5 linked regions of the Oryctolagus cuniculus genome follow. The protein of the gene in region 5 purifies or fractionates together with the protein of the main gene of each other region. This does not show direct contact. Links are inferred from orthologs where the notes say so. Each region holds a gene or a part of one and is shown on either strand. Other genes may lie near its edges.

Evidence for each region.
Region 1: the proteins of FAM98A (region 5) and NUFIP2 purify together in Homo sapiens (co-immunoprecipitation; 3 studies listed by BioGRID and IntAct, with this or other methods). This does not show direct contact. The link is inferred for Oryctolagus cuniculus from reciprocal best matches to the Homo sapiens genes FAM98A and NUFIP2.
Region 2: the proteins of FAM98A (region 5) and ATXN2 purify together in Homo sapiens (co-immunoprecipitation; 3 studies listed by BioGRID and IntAct, counting the BioPlex papers as one, with this or other methods). This does not show direct contact. The link is inferred for Oryctolagus cuniculus from reciprocal best matches to the Homo sapiens genes FAM98A and ATXN2.
Region 3: the proteins of FAM98A (region 5) and RTRAF purify together in Homo sapiens (affinity purification with mass spectrometry; 4 studies listed by BioGRID and IntAct, with this or other methods). This does not show direct contact. The link is inferred for Oryctolagus cuniculus from reciprocal best matches to the Homo sapiens genes FAM98A and RTRAF.
Region 4: the proteins of FAM98A (region 5) and ATXN2L purify together in Homo sapiens (co-immunoprecipitation; 3 studies listed by BioGRID and IntAct, with this or other methods). This does not show direct contact. The link is inferred for Oryctolagus cuniculus from reciprocal best matches to the Homo sapiens genes FAM98A and ATXN2L.

The regions. Positions count from the first base shown.
Region 1 is NC_091448.1:44,722,498-44,726,457, reverse strand, and holds part of NUFIP2 (FMR1-interacting protein NUFIP2), read left to right. Parts: intron 1-2,285; coding exon 2,286-3,960. UniProt on the Homo sapiens protein: Binds RNA.
Region 2 is NC_091452.1:8,882,186-8,885,193, forward strand, and holds the end of ATXN2 (ataxin-2), read right to left. Parts: intron 1,419-3,008; coding exon 1,047-1,418; 3' UTR 908-1,046; downstream 1-907. UniProt on the Homo sapiens protein: Involved in EGFR trafficking, acting as negative regulator of endocytic EGFR internalization at the plasma membrane.
Region 3 is NC_091443.1:24,284,936-24,289,369, forward strand, and holds the start of RTRAF (RNA transcription, translation and transport factor protein), read right to left. Parts: upstream 3,180-4,434; 5' UTR 2,618-3,179; coding exon 2,557-2,617; intron 1,170-2,556; coding exon 1,045-1,169; intron 1-1,044. UniProt on the Homo sapiens protein: RNA-binding protein involved in modulation of mRNA transcription by Polymerase II. Component of the tRNA-splicing ligase complex and is required for tRNA ligation.
Region 4 is NC_091450.1:7,673,675-7,678,333, reverse strand, and holds the start of ATXN2L (ataxin-2-like protein), read right to left. Parts: upstream 2,859-4,659; 5' UTR 2,341-2,858; coding exon 2,024-2,340; intron 1,239-2,023; exon of another isoform or gene 1,086-1,238; intron 558-1,085; coding exon 521-557; intron 328-520; coding exon 271-327; intron 184-270; coding exon 112-183; intron 1-111. UniProt on the Homo sapiens protein: Involved in the regulation of stress granule and P-body formation.
Region 5 is NC_091433.1:169,258,208-169,262,787, reverse strand, and holds the start of FAM98A (protein FAM98A), read right to left. Parts: upstream 3,130-4,580; 5' UTR 2,942-3,129; coding exon 2,889-2,941; intron 464-2,888; coding exon 315-463; intron 1-314. UniProt on the Homo sapiens protein: Positively stimulates PRMT1-induced protein arginine methylation. Involved in skeletal homeostasis. Positively regulates lysosome peripheral distribution and ruffled border formation in osteoclasts.

The sequences.
Region 1 (3,960 bases), on a different chromosome or scaffold from region 5:
TTTTTGAAATGCATCTGTAGTATATTAAAAGTGGGCTTTTATGACCCATTACCCGCATACCTATAAAGAGTATCCGTTTCTCTTTATCCAGAAGAGGGCGCACAGGAAGATCAAATGTGTTGAGTAATTTCAGTTTCTAATTCAAATGCTAGATTTATCAGGACTCGAGTTTTGCTGAGTTCATTTGAAGGAGAGTTACCTTAGCAGTCCTACGAAAGAAAAACACTAGGAGTTATTTATTTTAGTAATTCTATAATGCTTGTTTTTCTCAAATAGCTAAGCTTTAAAAGGAAAAGCGTTTCCCACGTATTTTTTTGCATACCAACAAGATAGCCATAGGAAAATTTTCATGTAAATTGAGGAATGTTTCTTATCATCCAAGTTTGAGGGTGGGAGTATAGTGGTTTCTGAGCCATTTTTTCTTTATTTGGTGGTTTCTAGTATTAATAATCTTAAGAAAATTTATTTTACTTTAAGATCTGTGCATTGGTTAAGCTTAGTTTGGACATTGGAATTTTTTTGGTATTTAAGATAGCTTACCTTTGACATCGGAAGTTGTGACTAATAGGCTCAAGGTACAAATGTTTGTTAAGCATGTTAAATGGTATAGATCTTGTTTTTAATACAAAAATGCCCAGGGGTGAGTTGTGTCTGTTAAGAATGTTGAGAGCCTCTGTTGAGAAACTATACTTTTGTAAAGGAAAAAGAACCTTTAAGAGACAACTTAAGCAAGTGGTCTCTTTCTTGTTTAATAGAATTTTTCTGTGAAAAACTGGATTTGATTGTCTCTCAGCCTTCACAGCAGCCAGAAAATAAAAATTAATCCTATATAAGTTAAGAACTTTTTCAAAATGATAACAAGTTTTTTGCCTTTCTGCTTATGATTATGCCTTGAGTGTTTTACTTTTTACTTTTTTAACAGGTTCAGTATAGTTCATAGGTACAATCCTAAGAATATAATGATGTTCCCTTTTCCCTTCCCTCCCTTTCTCCCCTTCTCACTTGAGTATGTTTTCTACAGTTATTTTCTAGAAGTCACGCAGTGATATGCTTCGGAAAAGCTCAGATATAAAACCTGGTGTGAGCAGCAAAATACCTTTATTTGCCCTTTAATACCAACTTTTTCCCTGATGTAGAATGAGTGACTTAAAATTTTAGTCCAGTCTGTGACTCATCCTAGATTGTGTTCTACTCCACACCTAGTTATTTTAGAGCAACGGTTCTCAAACTTTTTTTTAAAAAAATCCAGTATCCCCCTATATCTCCAAATAAAACAAAGTTTTTAAAAAAATACACACACTCATGTGCCTTTTAGCCTTCACAGACCAAAGGTCTTAAAATAATTAGGGGAAGAAAAAAACAGAATGGAATGATAAAGCTAAAAGTGTTTCTGTTGAACTCATACTCCCCAAAAGAGCTGTTTTTAAATGAATGTGTGTGTATCCTTGTATTGTATATCTATTTCTAATGGTTTGATTTCAGGATGCTTTTGTAAACATTTTGTAGAAAGGTAAATAACACCATTTTACTAATAAGGGAGTGTAAGATTGCCCAATTAAATCATCTATAGTTAATAGAGTTAACTGTTTATGGTGGTTGAAGGTCTTTAATGAAATCTGAATATCCTAACACTTGTGGTATTATATGTCCTCTTATGTAGTTTTGTTTGCAATTAGATGGCTTCCACAGTAGTTTTTCACTGATCTCTAGAATAGACAGTATTGCATGGTGGTAAAACCATGTATTCCAGGCAGGCTAGAGTTCAGATTTCCAGTTGTGCCACTTTGTGATCTGGAAAAGTTACTTCATCTCTATGAGAATCTATTCATCTAATGATAAAATGAAGAAAATATGTCTTAATAAGAATTACAAGCACTTGTACATAGGTGTTATAGTTCCATGTGTTAAAGCATGATCTGAAGTCAAATTACATTAGAACATTTCCTTGTAATAAGTACTGTATCAGTAAAACATGATTTTTGCCCAGAGGGTAGCTCTGTCCTTAATTGTAAAGAAATTTTTATAATGGGTAGATTGATTATGTCAGATGAGAAATCATGTTTTCTATGGTTTGAATCAAGGTACAGTTTCTGCCTCTTAACAGTAGATTCCATTTTGCAGTCTTGTAAAATAGGACTAACAAGGGTCTTACAGAGATGTGAAATAATAAAACTATAGCTCATATATAGTATCTAACATACAGCAAATAAAAGTCCTTAAATGTTACATAATAATGTATTTATGTGTTGTGATTTTTAAAAAAAAATTTTTTTTCCCTTCTCTAGGCTATGGTGAACTAAATGGTAATGCTGGAGAAAGAGAAATATCTTTAAAGAGTCTGGGTTCTGATGAAGCTACCAACCCTATTTCCAGGGTCCTCAATGGCAACCAGCAAGTTGTAGACCCTAGCCTGAAGCAGACTGTAAAGGCCAGCACCTTTGGGAAAGCAGGAATTAAAACCAAGAATTTCATTCAGAAAAACAGTATGGACAAAAAGAATGGGAAGTCTTATGAAAACAAATCTGGAGAGAACCAGTCTGTAGATAAAAGTGATACTGTAGCAATTCCAAATGGTGTTGTAACAAATAATTCAGGCTATATTGCTAATGGTTATATGGGCAAAGGAGCAGATAATGATGGTAGTGGATCAGAGAGCGGATATACCACTCCTAAGAAAAGAAAAGCTAGGCGCAATAGTGCCAAGGGTTGTGAAAACCTTAATTTAGTGCAGGAAAAAATAATGCAACAAGAGACCAGTGTCCCAACCTTAAAACAGGGACTTGAAACTTTCAAGCCTGACTATAGTGAACAAAAGGGAAACCGAGTAGATGGTTCCAAGCCTGTTTGGAAATATGAACCTGGGCCTGGAGGAACAAGTCGAGGAAAACCTGCCGTGGGTGATGTGCTTCGGAAAAGCTCAGATATAAAACCTGGTGTGAGCAGCAAAAAGTTTGATGATCGGCCCAAAGGAAAGCATGCCTCGGCTGTTGCCTCCAAAGAGGACTCGTGGACCCTATTTAAACCACCCCCAGTTTTTCCAGTGGACAATAGCAGTGCTAAAATCGTTCCTAAAATAAGTTATGCAAGCAAAGTTAAGGAAAACCTCAACAAAACTATACAGAACTCTGTGTCACCATCTTCATCCTCATCCTCTTCATCATCTACTGGAGAAACTCAGACACAATCTTCAAGTCGGTTATCCCAGGTTCCTATGTCAGCACTGAAATCTGTTACTTCTGCCAGCTTTTCTAACGGGCCTGTCTTAGCGGGGACTGATGCAAATGTGTATCCTCCAGGGGGTCAGCCACTGCTAACTACTGCTGCTAATACTTTAACACCCATCTCTTCTGGGACTGATTCAGTTCTCCAGGACGTGAGTCTAACTTCAGCAGCTGTTGAACAAATAAAGTCTAGCCTTTTTATTTATCCTTCAAATATGCAAACTGTGCTTTTAAGCACAGCACAAGTGGATCTGCCCTCTCAGACCGATCAGCAAAACCTGGGGGATATCTTCCAGAATCAGTGGGGTTTATCATTTATAAATGAGCCCAGTGCTGGCCCTGAGACTGTTATTGGGAAGTCATCAGATCATAAAGTGGTGGAGGTGACATTTCAAGGAGAATATCCTGCCACTTTGGTTTCACAGGGTGCTGAAATAATCCCCTCAGGAACTGAGCATCCTGTGTTTCCCAAGGCTTATGAGCTGGAGAAACGGACTAGTCCTCAAGTTCTGAGTAACATTCTAAAATCTGGGACTACTAATGAGAGTGGAGCCTTATCCTTGGAACCCAGTCATATAGGTGACCTGCAAAAAGCAGACACCAGTAGTCAAGGTGCTTTAGTGTTTCTCTCAAAGGACTACGAGATAGAAAATCAAAATCCTCTGGCCTCTCCTACGAACACTTTGTTGGGCTCCGCCAAAGAACAGAGATACCAGAGAGGCCTAGAAAGGAATGATAG
Region 2 (3,008 bases), on a different chromosome or scaffold from region 5:
ACTGAAACCTTTGTCAAGTTTAGTAAAAGGGTGTTCCAAGTCTTGATTTTTTTGTTTTAAGCGGTAATAGCAGCAAGAATCACTCTTGTTACTTCTTTTGCTAGCTGATGTGTTCATGACTTTCAAGGGCCATTAAAAAATAAATAACTTCCAGTTTTGGCAAGCAGAGCTGGGGTACTTGCGGGACTCTGCAAACAGCATGTGGAATTATGGACAGCCCCAGGTTCCTACAGTGCCTCTACTCGGGCCAAGTATCTTCCACTGCAAGTGAGCTGTTAGCATTCCTATTGGATGTTACAAGAAATCAACGTATATCGTTTAAAAACAAAATAAGTGAACTTCTAGTTTTCTGTGCTTCCAGCTGGTAGAAGCAGGAGCAGGGGGGAGGGGATCTGGCCCTTCGGCTCCTCCAGGGCAGCCTTACAGCTGCTGGTGGTGGTGGGCTTGTACTGTAAGAGAGAAGAGTGAGCATTTAAACAGAACGCTGCAGCACGGCCCACGAGCCCAGAGTCCGCAGCGCGTGCCTGCATCTAGCCTTGGCTAGCTAGGAGGAGACTCCAAGTTTAATTCACTGCCCCCCTCCCAATCTGCATCACGTGGGGAGGGCTGGGTGGGTGGGGGGGTGGGTAGATAGAAACAAGCCAGTCAGACATGAAACCACTTCAGATAAACTCCCAGAAGACTTGTTGCTCATGGGGTAGGAAAAAAGGCCTTCACATACCCCCTCCCTCATATTAGCCAAGCACCAGGAAGACCGTCCACGACCGCCATGGCAGCCATCAGTACTGCAGAACGACCACGGGGCACTCCTGCTGTCAGGACGGAGGCTGCAGCTGACCCTGCACTCGAAACCAGTCCACACAGCACTTGCTCATCACTGGTCTGTTCCAAGCTACAATCAGATTCGGCCATGGTAATAACCCCCCACGTGTCCAACGGTCGGGACGCAGGACGGAACCACGGCCCTGTCCAGCCTGTCATAACCAGGAAGGCCAACTGTGCCCTAGGCATGCATCAGCTACCCAGAATGCTGCTGCTGCTTCTCATCAAGTCAAATCCTGGACACCATCAAAACACACAGACTCGGCCCTGACACGGAACTGACGGTCACGGTCCCTCCTGCGCACGCTTGCATGGGGCTTGCTAGTTCTCAGGTGTGAGGCTGGAAGCACTGGCCCTGCCTGCCATTCGACCTGTGCGAGCAGAATGCTTGGGGTGCCCCGGCGGCCCCTGCACACACACGCCTCACCTGAAGGGTGCGTCATATAGGGGAAATGCGCTGTTGTCGAGACTGGAATGGGCTGTAGTGCACTTTGAGCGAGGGCGGCCTGGGGACCGCCGGGTGGCTGTGTCGTCATTAGCATCATTGGCGCATGGGCAGTTGGATGAGAAGGAACCATTCCTGACTGTACATGAGCCTGAAACAGAGAGCTCTTTTACGCATACAGGCAACATCTCCGGCTTAAACAATATGTCAACTGTGTTCCTTTCACTGGGCTGGGAGTCTCAGGAAAGGGCAGCAGCAGGCCCAGGCCCCCTTTCTTTTCTCTGGGGACACTCCTTAGTTCACCTTTTTGGCAGCTCCTGCAAGGCTGGAGGAGCCTAGATAAAACATCAGGGCCCCAATGACTGGGTCATTAAACTCTGAGCACAGAACTCATGTGTGGGCCAAGGTCTTCAACAAGAGCAGACCCCTGATCCAAGAACAGCTTTCTCAACTGAGCAACGCAAGACCCGATGATGCTTCCGCAGCGGGCCTCCGGGGGCCTGAGCGGGTGCTGCAGAGCACACCCCTTGCAAACAGCAAAGCAGGGGCTGTCCGCTGTGCCAGTGCGCGGTTCTCCGCCCGCTCCTTGTCTGCCTGTCTCCCTCTGCTTGTGGCCTGCTCCCCCAGGCAGGAAAAAGAAACGTGGCTTCCTTCACTCTAGAGAACATGCTGACTGGGCAGGAGGAGGAGCAGGTGCAGTCAGGGCTCCCGTGAGATGGAAGGAATCCTCTGCAGTGACCTGGGCCAGCAGTCTACCAGTGTCTACCGAGGGACGGGGAGTCCGAGTAGGAAAGGCAGCTGCAGGCAGCCCACGGCAACACTCACTTTCTGCCTCCCACACTGGGCACGGCTCGAGACCGGGACAAGCCTGCACCAAACACTGCTTCTGCTCCCTCACAAATTCAAACGGGCCCAGGACCTACTTGGGCTTCCCTGGGTTGACCTTTTGCTCTTTCTGCACAGAAGCACAAACGTGAGGTTGCAGGGACCTCTCTTGCAGGGAAGCTCACATACCTACTTAGCCACCAGCCTCGGCTAGACACCTACAGGACCCCAGCTCCCATGCAGCTCATTCCACCACACCGTGCTGGTCCACACTGACCAGAACCAGCTCCCCGCCGGCTCCCAGAAGCACACCAACTGCAGTGCACTGCCCCGCAGAACTACCCTCGGCAGGCGAGGCCGCCCGACTCCCCGGAGCTGCGGCCCCCCAGTCAGACTGAGTCGCATCCAGCCCGTCCCTCACTAGCACCACGCTGGAGCACTGCCTGGCAGGAAGCCTCAGAGTTGGTATGAAAGGAGCAGAGACGTCCGACACAGCCACCTCGCCTTGCCTAGCCCTGGGAGGGCCGCCAGGACGGCGTCAGAGCCCACCCTCAGCACGGCTCTTCGGCCACCTCAGCCCTCGCCAGCAGCAGGTGCACAGAGCCACCCCTGACGGCAGCCAGCCTGCCAACCCTGAGCAGCTCCCTGCAGGGGAGCTCCCAAGTGCTTCCAGAGCTGCTCCTCAAGAGAAAATGAGAACACCTGGAGCTTCCAGCGTCTCACTCACTGCACCAATGGCCAAGGTCAGGACCCTCACAAAGTACAGCACACGGTCCAAGTGGGCATACGGGTCGTCGGGGGGATGACTGGTGTGATGTCTCTGGAACTCCAGGACTCCCACCTTGGAGGGCTGAGTCTGAAGTCCATGATCCCTGCCAAGCTTGCGTGTGTGTGTGTGCGTGCGTGCACGCGGAGA
Region 3 (4,434 bases), on a different chromosome or scaffold from region 5:
TACTCTGCCTCTCAAATAAATGAAATCTTAAACAAAAAACAAGCATGAACACGGCAGTCTTAGTTTTTAAGTTTATCAATAATGTTTTGTTATTCCAAAAGATTTGGTAAAAGTGTATTGGGGGCTGGCGCCGTGGCTCACTTGGTTAATCTTCCACCTGCGGCACCAGCATCCCATATGGGTGCCGGGTTCTAGTCCCGGCTGCTCCTCCTCCAGTCCAGCTCTCTGCTGTGGCCTGGGAGTGCAGTGGAGGATGGCCCAAGTGTTTGGGCCCCTGCACCTGCATGGGAGACCAGGAGAAAGCTCCTGGCTCTGGCTTCGGATTGGCGTAACTCCGGCCGTAGCAGCCATTTGGGGAGTGAACCAATGGAAGGCCTTTCTCTCTGTCTCACTGTCTATAACTCTACCTGTCAAATTTTTTTAAAAAGTGTATTATTACTGCACTTTTAGTGTAATGTAAAAAATCTGATTTTGGCCATTAAATCAAAGACTACATATCACTATTTAAGAAGCTTCACAATATTTCCAGAGGAAATTATTTCTATGTAGTATTCAGGCTTGGTAGGAAGGGATATCATTCTCTCTAGAATCAAAAGAAACACAGACAGGGCCGGTGCGCTGGCATAGTAGGTTAAGCCTCCACCTGCAGCGCTGGCATCCTATATGAGCACCAGGTTCTAGTCCCGGGTGCTCCTCTTCTCGTCCAGCTCTCTGCTGTGGCCCGAGAGTGCAGTGGAGGATGGCCCAGGTCCTTGGGCCCTGCACCCCATGGGAGACCAGGAGGAGGCTCCTGGCTTTGGATCGGCGCAGCTCTGGCCGTTGGAGCCATTTAAACAATGGATGACAGAGCTTTCTGTCTCTCTCTGTCTATAACTCTACCTCTCAAATAAATAAATAAAATCTTAAAAAAAAGAAACACAGTTAAAAAAAACCGGAACCACTGAAGTCCGCGTTTCCAACGACGATCACTGTCGTCCAAGGACGAGTCATCGCAAGCTTGCTTCCACGCAGCTCTGCTTTGCTTCTACTTCCCTGACTCGTTACCTTTTCAAAGAACTTGGGCCAGTCGCTGCTGTGGATGTTTCTTAAGTTCCCTCTGTCTTCAATCTTGTAGTGTCTGATTTTCTGATCTTCAAGCCAAACGATGAAGTTTCTAAATTCTGTTTCATCTGCAACAAAAAGTCACCAAGTCACCAGAAATATTCACCAGAATACTTTCACGTATTCCCCAGAACACTTCCTCCTCCACAGATAACTGGTCTCGTGGACTTTTCTCAACCCCAAGATACTAAGTTCATGGAGCTGACAGAAGTACGAGTCGGAAGTACAGACGGGAGCCAGACAGTAACAATCATCTGTTCCCGTCCCGGCCTGGGTTCAGATTCTGGGTTCTATGGTTACGCGGATCTGGGGACACCACCTATAGTCTCTGTGCTCCAGAGTCTTCCACCTACTCCATGGGCTAATAATATTAGCACGTATCTGGCATCGCCGGGAAGCTTATGTGAAGACGAACAAAGTGTCTAGCATAGAGCTGCGCTGTTTTAATGTTATTAATATTCCGGTTCCTTTCAGGGGGAGACGAGACTACTTAAGGCTTAATTTTTGCCACAGAATTAATAAGGAAAAATGAAATAAGGAATAACAGATCAAATGACAAAACTTAGGGAAGACAGCAGGTATCACGGAAGGTTACTCCCACATTAAGGGCACCTCGTACACGATTTCAGCCCACCCCCTTTCAACACACCCTTATGATACGGGTAATAGCCCCATTTCACAGACGAGCAAACTGGGGCGCAAAGGTTCACACCCACATTTGAGCTACAGCGCCACGGACCCTTGTCCACTAAGTAAAAGGCAAAGTGGAAAAACACACCACTACCGTTTGCTACGCTTCTACGCAAGACGGAAAAAACCAGCACGTAGTCGGCTCGGAAATCGGTTTCAGCAGGCCGCCTGCGGTGCTCTGAGCGCCGCGCCGCAAGCTGGACTCGGGGGTCCCTCTCGGAGGCCAGCAGGAACACGACTTTGTAAAGACTTCAACGCAGGAACATCCCCCAACACTCCGGTGTTCGCGACGCAGCCTGCCCGCTTAGGGGCTACTTCACTTCCGTGCACGCCCCGTGCGACCCCCCGAGCCCGCGCCCCCCGCCCCGCCCGGGCCTCAGCGCCTGCTCTCTGCGGCTGCTCCCTGGGCCGGGCCTCCCACTCCTGGAGCTCGGCTGCTGCAGCCCGTGACCCCCTCTGCACCCTCCCCAGAACCCAGCGCGCCGCGGGCCCCCAGCAGGTGCCCCAGGTACAGCCTAACGACCCCCGCTTAAGTGAGAAAACAACGAAAGCCTCCCGTTGGGTGTGCCAAGGCCGGGTGGCGGCAGCAGTTTAGCAAGTGCAGAAAGTGTCGGCGCCGAGGCAGGGCCGGGAGAGGGGGCTCCTTAGCCCGGGGAGCGGCCCCGGGGCACCCAGGGGCAGCCAAGGCCGCCGAGGGTCCCGGTGAGGAGGCAGGGTGGGGACGCTCGGGGAGGGACCGCCGCCGGCCCCGGGCCGCCGCCTCACCTTTGCAGTTGAAGCCAGAAGGGTTGTGGTAGTCCAGAGCCGTCAGCTTGCGTCGGAACATGGTCCCCGCTTCTCGCTCTGGTCCCCCGGGCCTCAGCCGGGAGAAGAGAAGCGAGGAGAAGCAGGCGGCGCAGGCACCGGCGACGCGGCGAGAGGGCGGGCGGGCGCGGCGACGCTACGGAGTGACGGCGGCCTTGGCCAATCGGAGCTTCAGAACGGCGGCCGCCGGCAAGCGCCTACCAATGGGAGCTCCGGGTGAGGAGGCGGGGCCACGTCCGGGCACGTCGACGCTCAAATTAACTTTATTGTCCGCTTCCTAGTCGCACAAAAGGCCGACAGGAGCCGGCCAGGCAGTTTCCTCTGGCTTTCCACCGCGGCGTGTAGAGCGTGAGACATGTAGGCTGTCCGCTGCTGTCGTACGTAGCAGCGCTCACTGGATCACAGAACTGCCCATTAGGATTTTGGCTGCATTCATTCATGCGTGCATTGCTCTTCCCACATACGAGGTGTTCTTGTAGCACTGTTAATACATTGCAAAACAAAGGTTAGTTGGTGGTCGATCCACAGGGAAACGTAGAAGTATAAAAGCGTGTGCACATTCCAGCTTTCGCCAGCCGCTGAGTGAGGTCAGAACGAGGAAGTCATCGTTAGGTGCCCTCAGTCACAGCACCGCGTGGATCACCACTTCCTGCAAACTCAGATCCTCCTGTGCCCCGTGAACCTCACTGATGTCGCCTCACATCGGGCTCCCGTCACTCCTGCTTACTCTGAGGGATTTCTGAGGGCCAGTCTTGCCTTCTGCAATCACAGCGAGAAGCATGATTTTCTAAAACACAACTGCCCATAGCCTCTTCGGCTAGGTATCTCTTAACGGGTGCCACTGCCTTCTAGAACCAATAAAATGTTCTTACTGTATTGACGAAGCTTCCTGAGCCTGTCCTTCCCTGCTTTTCAGACACTGGGGAGGACGCACTGGGCTAGGCAGAGCTGGCCCCTACTTATGGAGTTTACAACATTAAGCAGATGACCTGAGTGTGACCCACAGCTTGAAATTGGTGAGGAGTTCACCTTGCTGGCAAAACAGGAACTCCCTTTGAGGGCAGTAGATGGGTAAGGGCAAGCAATGAGTGACAGCTGGCTGGGGGAGGATGCAGCTTACGGGGGCTGGGCGGAAGCCTTGAGGACCAGCAAGGGCTCTGATCAAGAAGGGCTTCATGACAGCTACGCTGAGATGCTGAAGTTCTCGGGGGTAAGCCAACCCTGGATGGTTCATTTTATTTCAAGATATTAACTCGACACCATGTTCGCATCGATGGGACACAGGAATGAGTAAACTCTGTTTTCGGGAAGTTTAAGCAGAATAACCAACATATGTGTGTGAATAAATACTTATAATCTAGAGTTAGAAAGTGTTAAGCGAATTATAAGGCCACTGTATACTTACTTAGGGAATGAATCAAGAAAATGAGTTCACAAGTGGTTTGCTTCCAACAAAATCTGGTCAAAGATGAAGCTATACTCAGGCACATACTAGCTGTGTAAGTATTGAAATATTAGTGGAAAATAAAAAAAAAACATCAATGAAGGGAAACTAAGGGAGGAAAAAAACATGCGTGCAATTGCAGATAATGCAATTAGCAGTATGAGGGAAGGGAACAGCTGACTTGCTTGAGCTTGTAGGGCTGCTCCAGGGAGCTTATTTTGCAACACTGCTCAGAGGCCAGACCACCGGTCAGTGCAGAAAAGCAACATGAAATCAGCCTGAGTCACGGTGTATGGAAAGTATGCTGCCTGAGCAGCAGGAGAGTCCTTCCTCCCTTCTGGGTGCGGGTCCGCTGAGAAGCCCTGCTCTGAAAGGCCAGGCCAACTGCTCCTCAG
Region 4 (4,659 bases), on a different chromosome or scaffold from region 5:
CTTGTGGCACTACTCCGCACAGGCCTGCGATCAACACAAAGCCGCCCAACTCACGCCCTCTCCTCATCCTCCTTCCAGGCAGCTCCAATAAGCTCACTGGAGTACACTGACCTTTGAGCTCAGTGTCTTGAAGATACCCTCGTAGGTGGTGCCATTCTTCACTTTTACGTCACAAGTGGAGCCCTGCGAGGGAGCGAGAAGCAAGTAGAGTGTCTCAGCAAATGGATCCATCACACTCCTCAATCAACTGAAGGGTGAGCCCCCACTCACCACAACAGCTGTAAGGAAATGCAGCATTCTGGAATTGTTATAGACACCTTCAAACACCTGTCAGGAGGGGGAAACAGAGGAGCAGCCGTCAACACCTCACTGTGGCTCTAAATGGCCACACTCTACTTCTGCCCACCTTGGACATGCCAGGCCCCTAGCCCTGCTGAGCCCATCTGACTACCTCTGCACCGAATCTGCCCTGTACTCCCAAGTAGTTGTCTTTTAGGTCATGGGGGGGGGGGGCACTCACAGGTGACTGTGGGGGTCCCTTTCCTGTGCTCTGTCCCCTGTAAGAAAAGGAAACAAGAAACACATTACTTCACTGTTCAAGCCCCCTACGCACTGATGAACGACACACTCCAGAACCAAGTACCGTGTGAAGGATCTGATTTAAGCTACGAGCCCATCAATCAGCAAGATTTCCCAACTCTCACTTAGAAAGAATAGGTATGAAATGTCAGCAACACATTTCTTCCAAATGCCAGTAAAAAAGACCTCGATCAGAAATAACTGTCTGTTGCTCTAAGAGCCAAAGCAATACAAGCTTCCCACTTCCTCCACGGGGCCAGGCTGCACGCTTCCAACAGGCCAGTGCCTGGCGCCGGATAACCAGTAACCCACCGCAGGGGACAGCTCCGGAGCACGGATCCCGAACTACCTAGCTCAGGCGCATTATCTTCCGAACGGGAAAGAATCATTTTCACCCCCCTTACAACCCAGACCACGGAGAGGTGGGGAGTGGGGTCATCACCTCCCCACCTCACCCCTTCGACCTCCTGACTCATTCGGCCCGTTACCCACTCTGCGGGCCTCACCAATCGCCAGGTTAACACTGCTCCTCGATGGCTGATGTAACCGGCGGTAGAGGAGGGCGATGAGGGGGCCGTTGGCGGGGCTGGGGGACAGCGCAGCCGCAAAAGCCATCCACCGGGAGGCCTCGCCCGGTCTGCGCCTGCGCACTAAAACCCACGGGCCTCTTCCCAATCCCCCCTCCCGCGATCCGCACGCACTGCGCCTGCGTGTGCCGCCACTCTCGATTCCATGAACACGCACGCACGCAGAGACACACACACATACACACACAAGAACAGGGGCAGGGCGGCTGCTGCTTGTTCACGAACACCAGATGAGCCGCTCCACGCACTCACGGCCCCAGCCCTACTGCTACCGGGGCACGCGATAGCCCGGGTCATGAGACAGCGCATCCGCGCGCACGTCCGGAAGGGCGGGAGCGCGCGCGCCGGAGCTCCCCGGCCCGCAGTCCTCGAGCCCCCGCCCGCCCCGCTCCCCTCCAACTGGCCAGCCCGGGAAGGGGAGGTAGCAACCCGCTCCCAAGTCCCTCCCTCCCCATTGGCCAAACTGTGGGCCGCGCGCCCCCCTCCATTGGCTACGGCCGGGGACCCCTTCCCGCAGCTGACTCCCCATTGGCTGCAGCCGGGGACCGCGAGACCCTTCGTGGTAATGGAGCCGGGGACCCCGATCACCTCTTCGGCCCCCCCCACGCCCCGTTCCGACGGCGCCGGCGGGGTGCGCCCCGCCGCCCCTCGGGTCCCGGGCCCTGAGCACGGCCCGAGGCCCGGGAGCTGAGCACAGCCCCCAGACGCCCGCGGGGGCCGGCTGGGAAGCGAGGGGGGACCCTCCCTGGTTTCACGGGGGTTGCCGCCCCCTCCCTGCGCCCCTCCAAGGTGCCGGGCTGGGGCCCGCCCCGCCGGCACCGAGCCGCTGCCTCCTCCCTCGGCCCACCCCGCCTCACCTGGCGCTGCCGATGGCGCCGGCCCCTGGCCTCTCCTGATGCGGCGGCGGCTGCTGCGGCGGCGGCGGCGGCTGCGGCGCCAGGATGCCTTCAGCTCCCCGGCGGAGTCCGGTGCCGGCAGCGGCCGCAGGCCCCAGGCAGGGGGAGGCGGCGGCGGGAGGCCCCGGCGGAGTCGCGGCGGCGGCGGCGGCCAGCGGCCCCGGGAGGCCGCCGTTGGGAGGGCTGGTGCCCCCGGGAGGCCGGCGGGCCACGGCCTGTTGCGTGGGGGGCGGCTGCTGGGGCTGAGAGGTCTGTTGTGGCGGCTGAGGCTTCAACATGATGGCAGCGTCCGGAAGGGGAATTAGAGGGAAGGGAGGGGAGGAGAGGGGGGCCGGGGCTGGACCCCCCCGGCGGAGAGCGCGGGAAGCGAAGGGGACTGGGAAGCCGGGGACCCGCCGTTGGCGGGCGGGGGCGGGGAGCCCCGCGGTGTCGGGGGTGGCTGGAGAAGACCGCGGCGCGAGGAAGCGCCGCGAGGCGGAAGGGGAGGGGGTCTCGCGGGCCGGAGGAAAACGAGAGGGCGCGAGCCGGCCCTGCGCGCGTGCGCGTCGCCGGGGGAAGGGGAGGGCGGGAGCTCCCGGAGGGGGAGGGGCGGCGGCGGCCGGCGCGAGGGGCTGGCGCGCGCCGGGCGGTTAGCTCCGGGAGAAGCGGGGTGGGGGGGGCGGAATCGGTAAGTCTCGCACCCGTAGCCCTCAGGGTGGGTCGGGAGCAGCGCGGGCGCTCACGCGCACCCAGGATTTAGGGTCTCTGGGTCTCAAACCGCCCTAGAGGCTGGCGCCTGCTGTCGCTTCACAATGAGCGTGTGAGGCGCTGGGGGAGGAGCCGAAGAAGCGGCGACGAAGATCCGGCTGCCCCGCCCACGCCGCCGGCGTCACGTCAGGATGCCTCCGCAGCGACGTGAGCGGTCACGGCGTAGCGTGAGGTTCTTCCGCCGCTGGGGCGCTTGTGGGCGGAGTCTCCAGTGCCCAGGAAAAAAAAAAAAAAAAAGATCCCGGACTGCAAAAACCTAGCAGTTGCTCATTTAGGCAAGCGGTGGTTTTTTTATTTTTTATTATTTATTTATTTTTAAGGAGCTGCTTACTCTCCTCCGCATTTACTGTCAGTAAAAGCCGGATGAGAATTACGATGATTCGTTTGAACGTGTTCATCCTTGCAGATAGATCTATGCCTAATCCTAAATTGTTTTAAATCTCAGTGGTCTTTAAACGTAAGCTGCTTCTCCTTGCCTGAGAATGAGCCCTTAGAACTTTAGTAAAAGAGACTCTCTGAAGGCCAAAATTTCTAGGGTCCACTTCAAAATCCTCCACCCAGCTCTGCAGTAAAGACACCTCCGGTCGTTAACAAGGTCCGGACTTGGGTGTCGATGTTGGAGCGCAGCAGGTTCGGCCGTGGCAGGCATCTGGGGCGCCGGCTCCAGCCCCAGCTGCTCCACTTCCCATCCAGCTCCCTGCTCCCGTGCCTGGGAAAGCAGCAGCAGGTGGCCCGAGTCCTTCCCGGCTTCACAGGAGCCTTAGCAGGGTGGGTTTGTCGGAGCGCTAAGGGCGTGGGTGGCAATTCTGCAAGTGCTCTGGGGGTATCGTAGGACTGAGCGCACAGGTGAATGAATGTCTGGATCTTCTCGAGAGCCAGGGATCCCACGGGGGAAGAACAGAGACCCGAATACAGAAGAGGGGAAGGAGCAAACAGCTGGAGGTGTCGGGGGGAACCGGGGCATGCGAGCTCGCTCTCTCTGTAGCTCTGCCTTTCAAATAAAATATTTTTTAAATGGGGAAAATTGATGAATTTGGTATATAGAGTATTGTATCCAGGATAAATTACCTGACTCTGATAACTGTGATAGACAGGTGAGGGCGTATGCTTAATAAATATACTCTGAAATGAAAAAAATAAAAATACAAAAAAGAAAAAGAAAAAAACATGTAAAGTGAAGTATTGTAAGGCATGGGAGTACTCTCAAATGGTTGACAGTTCTATACAAGTATATATCGTAATCACAGAGAAAATGCATAGTGGCCAAGTGTCAACAGTTGGTGACTTGAGGTAGGTGTTGTCTGAAGTTATTTGTAATAGCCTCTCACCTTCTGAGCAAATCTGAACTCATTTTCGAAATACAAAACCAGACAAATAAATAGTAAAAATTATCTGACAGCCCCGCAGCAGGGAAGGGAGTGAGGGCAAGCCGCCCGCCCGAGTCTCCATGCTGAACACCTTCCAGTGCACGGGTAAGTTGGGTGACGGCCGGCGCTCAGCATCCAGGGCTCACTGTGTTTCATTCCAGTGGGGCCGCGGTGCTCCCAGCTTGAGAGTCCCGGGCCGCCAGGACCCCGTTCACCCTACAAACCACGAGGCCACGTTCCTCACCTGAGAGCCGGGAAGGGCGCGGGGCTGGGCAGTCGACCGGGTGCCCTGCAGGAAGAGTCACTCCCCTGATGACTCAAGGAGCTGCTCAAAGCATCGCACAAAGTTGCCAAGACAGGGAGCAAAGCTTCCCAGGTGGGTTATTGGGTGACATAGCGAGGGGCCCAAGGTCCGGGTCCACCCCTGGATTCCCACTGCTGCAGCCCGGCTGTAGGGCAGACTGCACCCCATAATGATCTCTG
Region 5 (4,580 bases):
CACCAGTCTAGGATCTCACAATTCAGTTTACAAAACATAGAAAGTTTGTACATTCTATACTTATAATCTTCATTTTTCTGTATCTCTTTTTAGTCTCCACAAGTTTCTAATAGTTATATGACTATATTCTGGTCTTTAACTTCTGGATCACTTTATCTCTAAAAACAATTGATGAGAGAAAAGTATTGTGACTCTTCTACAAAATTTTTCTTTACATTTACAAAAACCCTGAAATTTCAGCATTAGTACTAATAACTAGACAATATCATGATCTTATTTTTACATTTTGCACCTTCAAGTGAATGTTTACTTACTGTTAGTTGCTTGTACATTTTCCTCCAGTTTACAGAGCACTCGTAATTCAGACACCAGCCAAGCACAGAGTTTGGTAAACTCAGGGGAACTGGCTCCAGCAGAGACTGCCTGAGACAGAGCGCCATCATCCAACAAGGGGCCCTTGTAACTGGTGAGTAAGAAGTTATACTTCAGAATATAAAGTCATACCTAATATATTACAGATAAAAATACATGTATGTATTCTTTATGCAATTAAGCAATATTTCAATAAAGATAAGTTATGATGACCAATGTATACATTTGCACATGTAAAAACTTATACTGAACCATTCAAACTTACAATGAACCATTCAAAAAATACACAAAGATAAATGACAACTGCATTTCTACCTTCAAAATATATGCGAATATTGGACAGAATCACATACACTACTAAATTATACCAACTTTTCTGCATTCACTTTATTGTACAATAAAGTAACTGAATTGAGTACTGACACTACATTAATAAATGATAGCTATTATATATCTTACCATTTTAGAAATAGAACTTAGGTTATCTTTTGTAGAAAAATTTTTGCAGAAATAAAGTAGGTTAGGTTTTTAATGACTTCCTTTAAACATCCTTCCAATTAATCATTAATTTTTCTATATTTAGTGAGTGTTAAGAGAAGACATAATCATACCATTGACATGTCAAGATTAATTGAATAATTGTTGGCCACCTGATGAACTGTGCATCTGAATCCTAATTCTCTGTGATTCCAATGTACTTTTAAAACATCAAACATTCATGGCAGTAATAATGAACTCCAATCACCTACGTTAAGATCCTATCAATCCTATTAAAGAGCAGTGTTTTTTTCTTCATACTATTTGGTGAACTCTTAGTGTAGGGTTAATCTCATGAGTATAAAGTAAACCGAAAATAGATCTTTGTAAAAATTAAGAGTGGGAATAGGAGAGGGAGGAGGAACAGTGGTGTGAGCACGGGTGGAGGAAGGGTAGGGTGGTATCACTATGTTCCTGCATCTGTCTATAGGAAATACATGAAATTTGTATACCTTAAGTAAAAATTAAAAAACAAAGATTCTATCACTCAAAATAACTTTAATACACACAAGGGTACTTCTCTAAAAGATAGGTTTATTTTACTGCAAATATTTTTTGAAATCATGCATTTTCCATGAGCTTTTTGTATACTGGTCAGATTTTACATTCTTTTGTAAGAAATACTGTTAAGAAAGTTACAAAAGAGACCCTCCTTGGTGCTCCTCACAGTATATTATTTTCATAGTATTCTGTGAACCTCTCTTTCACCTCACCCTGTACCCTTAAGCACCCAGTGCGACACAGGCAGAAGGGGAAGGGTTCGTCACAAATGTCTTCTGAATGACTGGTTACAGGTGAGGGAGCAACTCAGTTTGAGATGTCCACATACAAGGACTATTTTCCTCACATCCAAAGTCCAGTATATTCCGGAAAGCTTAAGTTTCATGGAAGGGAACAATGGTAACCCATTTTGACAAATAAGGATGATTAATAGGTCCATTTCCTTTCCTAAAAACTTCTACCAGGACAGCAAGAAATTTAAATTAGAAGGCTTTGGGAACGCTCAGTTTCCTTTCCTAAAAAGGGTTTCTATAAAAGGGCTGCACATCATTGGAAAGCCTAAGGCAAAGTTTTGACAAAAGAGCTCTTACTTATAACACAACTAGCTAAACCAGTACTTTTTTTTTTTTACACCAAACTTATAGGCAAATAGTTAATCATACAATTTGTGCCTAGAACCTCATTTAGCCCAAGAGGTTCTAAGTTCTCAAATTTAATACAGTACATTTGATCCGGGTGACCCAGTGAGATAAGCCCTATTTCCAACTTCTAGATATTAATGAATTATGGTTGGGTAACTGTCAGATGCAGTTTTACATGTTTGTTTTTTTGCATGTTTGCAAAACAAACATGTTGATTCTTAGTGGGTAAAGATGAAGTGGCTAATGGTGCTCCACGGAGACAGGGTGTCAGAAAATCACTAGGAGCTGCCAGTGGATCCCAGCGAGGTGGTGCCAGGTTAGGTGCCCAAGTAAGCAGGCTAGCGGAACGGATGCAGCGTCCAGACATGTGGCTTGGGCAAGCCTGGCTGCACGCAGAGATGACTGAGCAAAGGAGAATTTTTGAAAGAAGCAGGGTGGGGGAGCACGGGCAGAACAGGAAATTTGGAGGACGAGCATGAAGACAGAGAATCTACTCTTGAGAGGAGCGGGTACAGCAGGAGGATAAGGAGCAAGAGAAGAAACTCGGGGAGTGGGGGTGGCGAGACCGAGCCCAGACAATGACACGCATGACTGACAAATGCCGCGGGGTAACTCGACTGCAGGGAGCACAGGACAGGCCTAGGGGCGTTGGTGCTGCGGGGCCCCGAGCCATCAGGACAGAAGTGGACGCGGCGCTGGGGTACTGGGGCTATTGGAAAGCCACAGCTAGAGCCACCGGGTGCGGCGTGGAGAGGCAGGTGTCTCACTGGGGCGCAGGGGTGTTCCCCGGGGACCGACAGTGTGAGGCTCGGGGGACCCGTGCCCTGGCAGTCTTACCCTAGGTCTTCCAACGACTCCAAGATGTCAGTCTCCATGAGGTCACACTCCATGCTACTGTGGTATTCAAATTTCCGAGTCGTCAGGCTCCCCTCTTCGCCGGCAACGCGTACCCTCGCGCATGCGCTCTCTCCCCGGAACTTCCAAATCGACAGCTGGCGCCTCAGCGCCTGCACTGCGCATGTCCCGAGCGTGCGCAAGAAGCGAGGTCCCGCCTACTGCCCCTCCCCTGTCTGCTAAAGGATCCCCGGCCACACAGGTTTACACATGCGTATTACTGAGGAGTGAAGCCGGCTTCCCGAAGAAGGGCAGAAGGACTGGCTGCGTGGCAGCTGGGCTTGGGCAGCGCGCGGAGCTCTCCTTAGTGCGTGTACGCATGTGCGAGTCTTGGGGCGAGGCGGGCCGGGGCGGAGCTTGCCGGGGAGTGTTACCTCTGGGCTGGAGAGGCTGTGGGCTGTGGAGCGGAGTCCCTGCGGTCAGGGCAGTGGGCAGGTGGTTCCCCGCAGGCAGCCCGCGTGTCCCAACCTTGGCTGTGGTCAAGAAGAAGGGGAACGCTCACCTATGCTCCCGTCTCATGGCCCAGGACAGAGGTAGCCAGCCCAAGTGCCCAGAAGAGAACGCGCCATTTGATTTCCTTGTGACTGGATTTCACGGCTAGGGAGGAGTTCCCCTTCCTTTGAAACGGATGTATTTTAAAAGTTACGTGGTTTTCCTCAAGCGTTCTCCGCCTGACTTCTTAGTGCTTCCCCGTCACTAAGCATCTTGAGGCGGGGAAAGGGCTTCAGTCCAGACCGAATAGAATACATTCGAATCCACGTAGTAATATCACTGCATTTTGACATCATTTGCCGATGTTAACGTTCACCTCACGGTGGGTTATGATTTCGTGGCGGTTATCCGTTGGATGTGTGCTTAAAAATGAACGACAGATGAGGGAAAAGTGTTTTCAAAGTGATGGGATTTTTAGAAAATTATTATATTTAGCCATAAGTTGGCATAGGTTATACTGTGTAGGCTTTTAATTAAAGAGTTTTCACATTGGTACCAGATTTTATTTTATGGTTCTCATTTTCCTAATGCATAAATTCTCCCTACTCTTAGTAGTATTTTTTTTTAAAGATTTAGTATTTGAAAGGCGAAGTTACAGAGCGAGAGAAAGACGTATCTTCCATCGACTGGTTCACTCACCAGATGGCTGCAATTTAGTCCCTAATTTTGCCCCTTATTTTGCATCCTCTGCTGTGAGAAAGGTTGTTAGAAGCCTAAGGTGTGTCTGGCATGGTGCTACCCCTGCAATCACATTATGGTGCAGTTATCCCAAAGCTATGTAAATGTAACTTGCATCTTACAGATGGGAACACTGGGGTTTGGAGGTTTAATGATCTGCGAAAGATCTCAAGGTTGATGGGTATGAACTAGATTTTGAGACTGAGGCATGTCCAAACCCATATTACTATTTGACTAGTCAATTAAGCAGGATGTGCAAAGATAGAATGTAGCCAGTTGAAATTCCTTTGGTTTATATATTCTGTACAATCACATCATTATAATAAAAATGGAGTATTTATATTTTTCTCACAGGGTTGTTGAAAGTGCTAAACAAAAAAAGCAGTCCTTAATAAGTCAATTTTGAAAGAAAAATGTTTCATTCTTGACTCTTTGATATAAGTTGTAACAATATTAGTGAGTGAA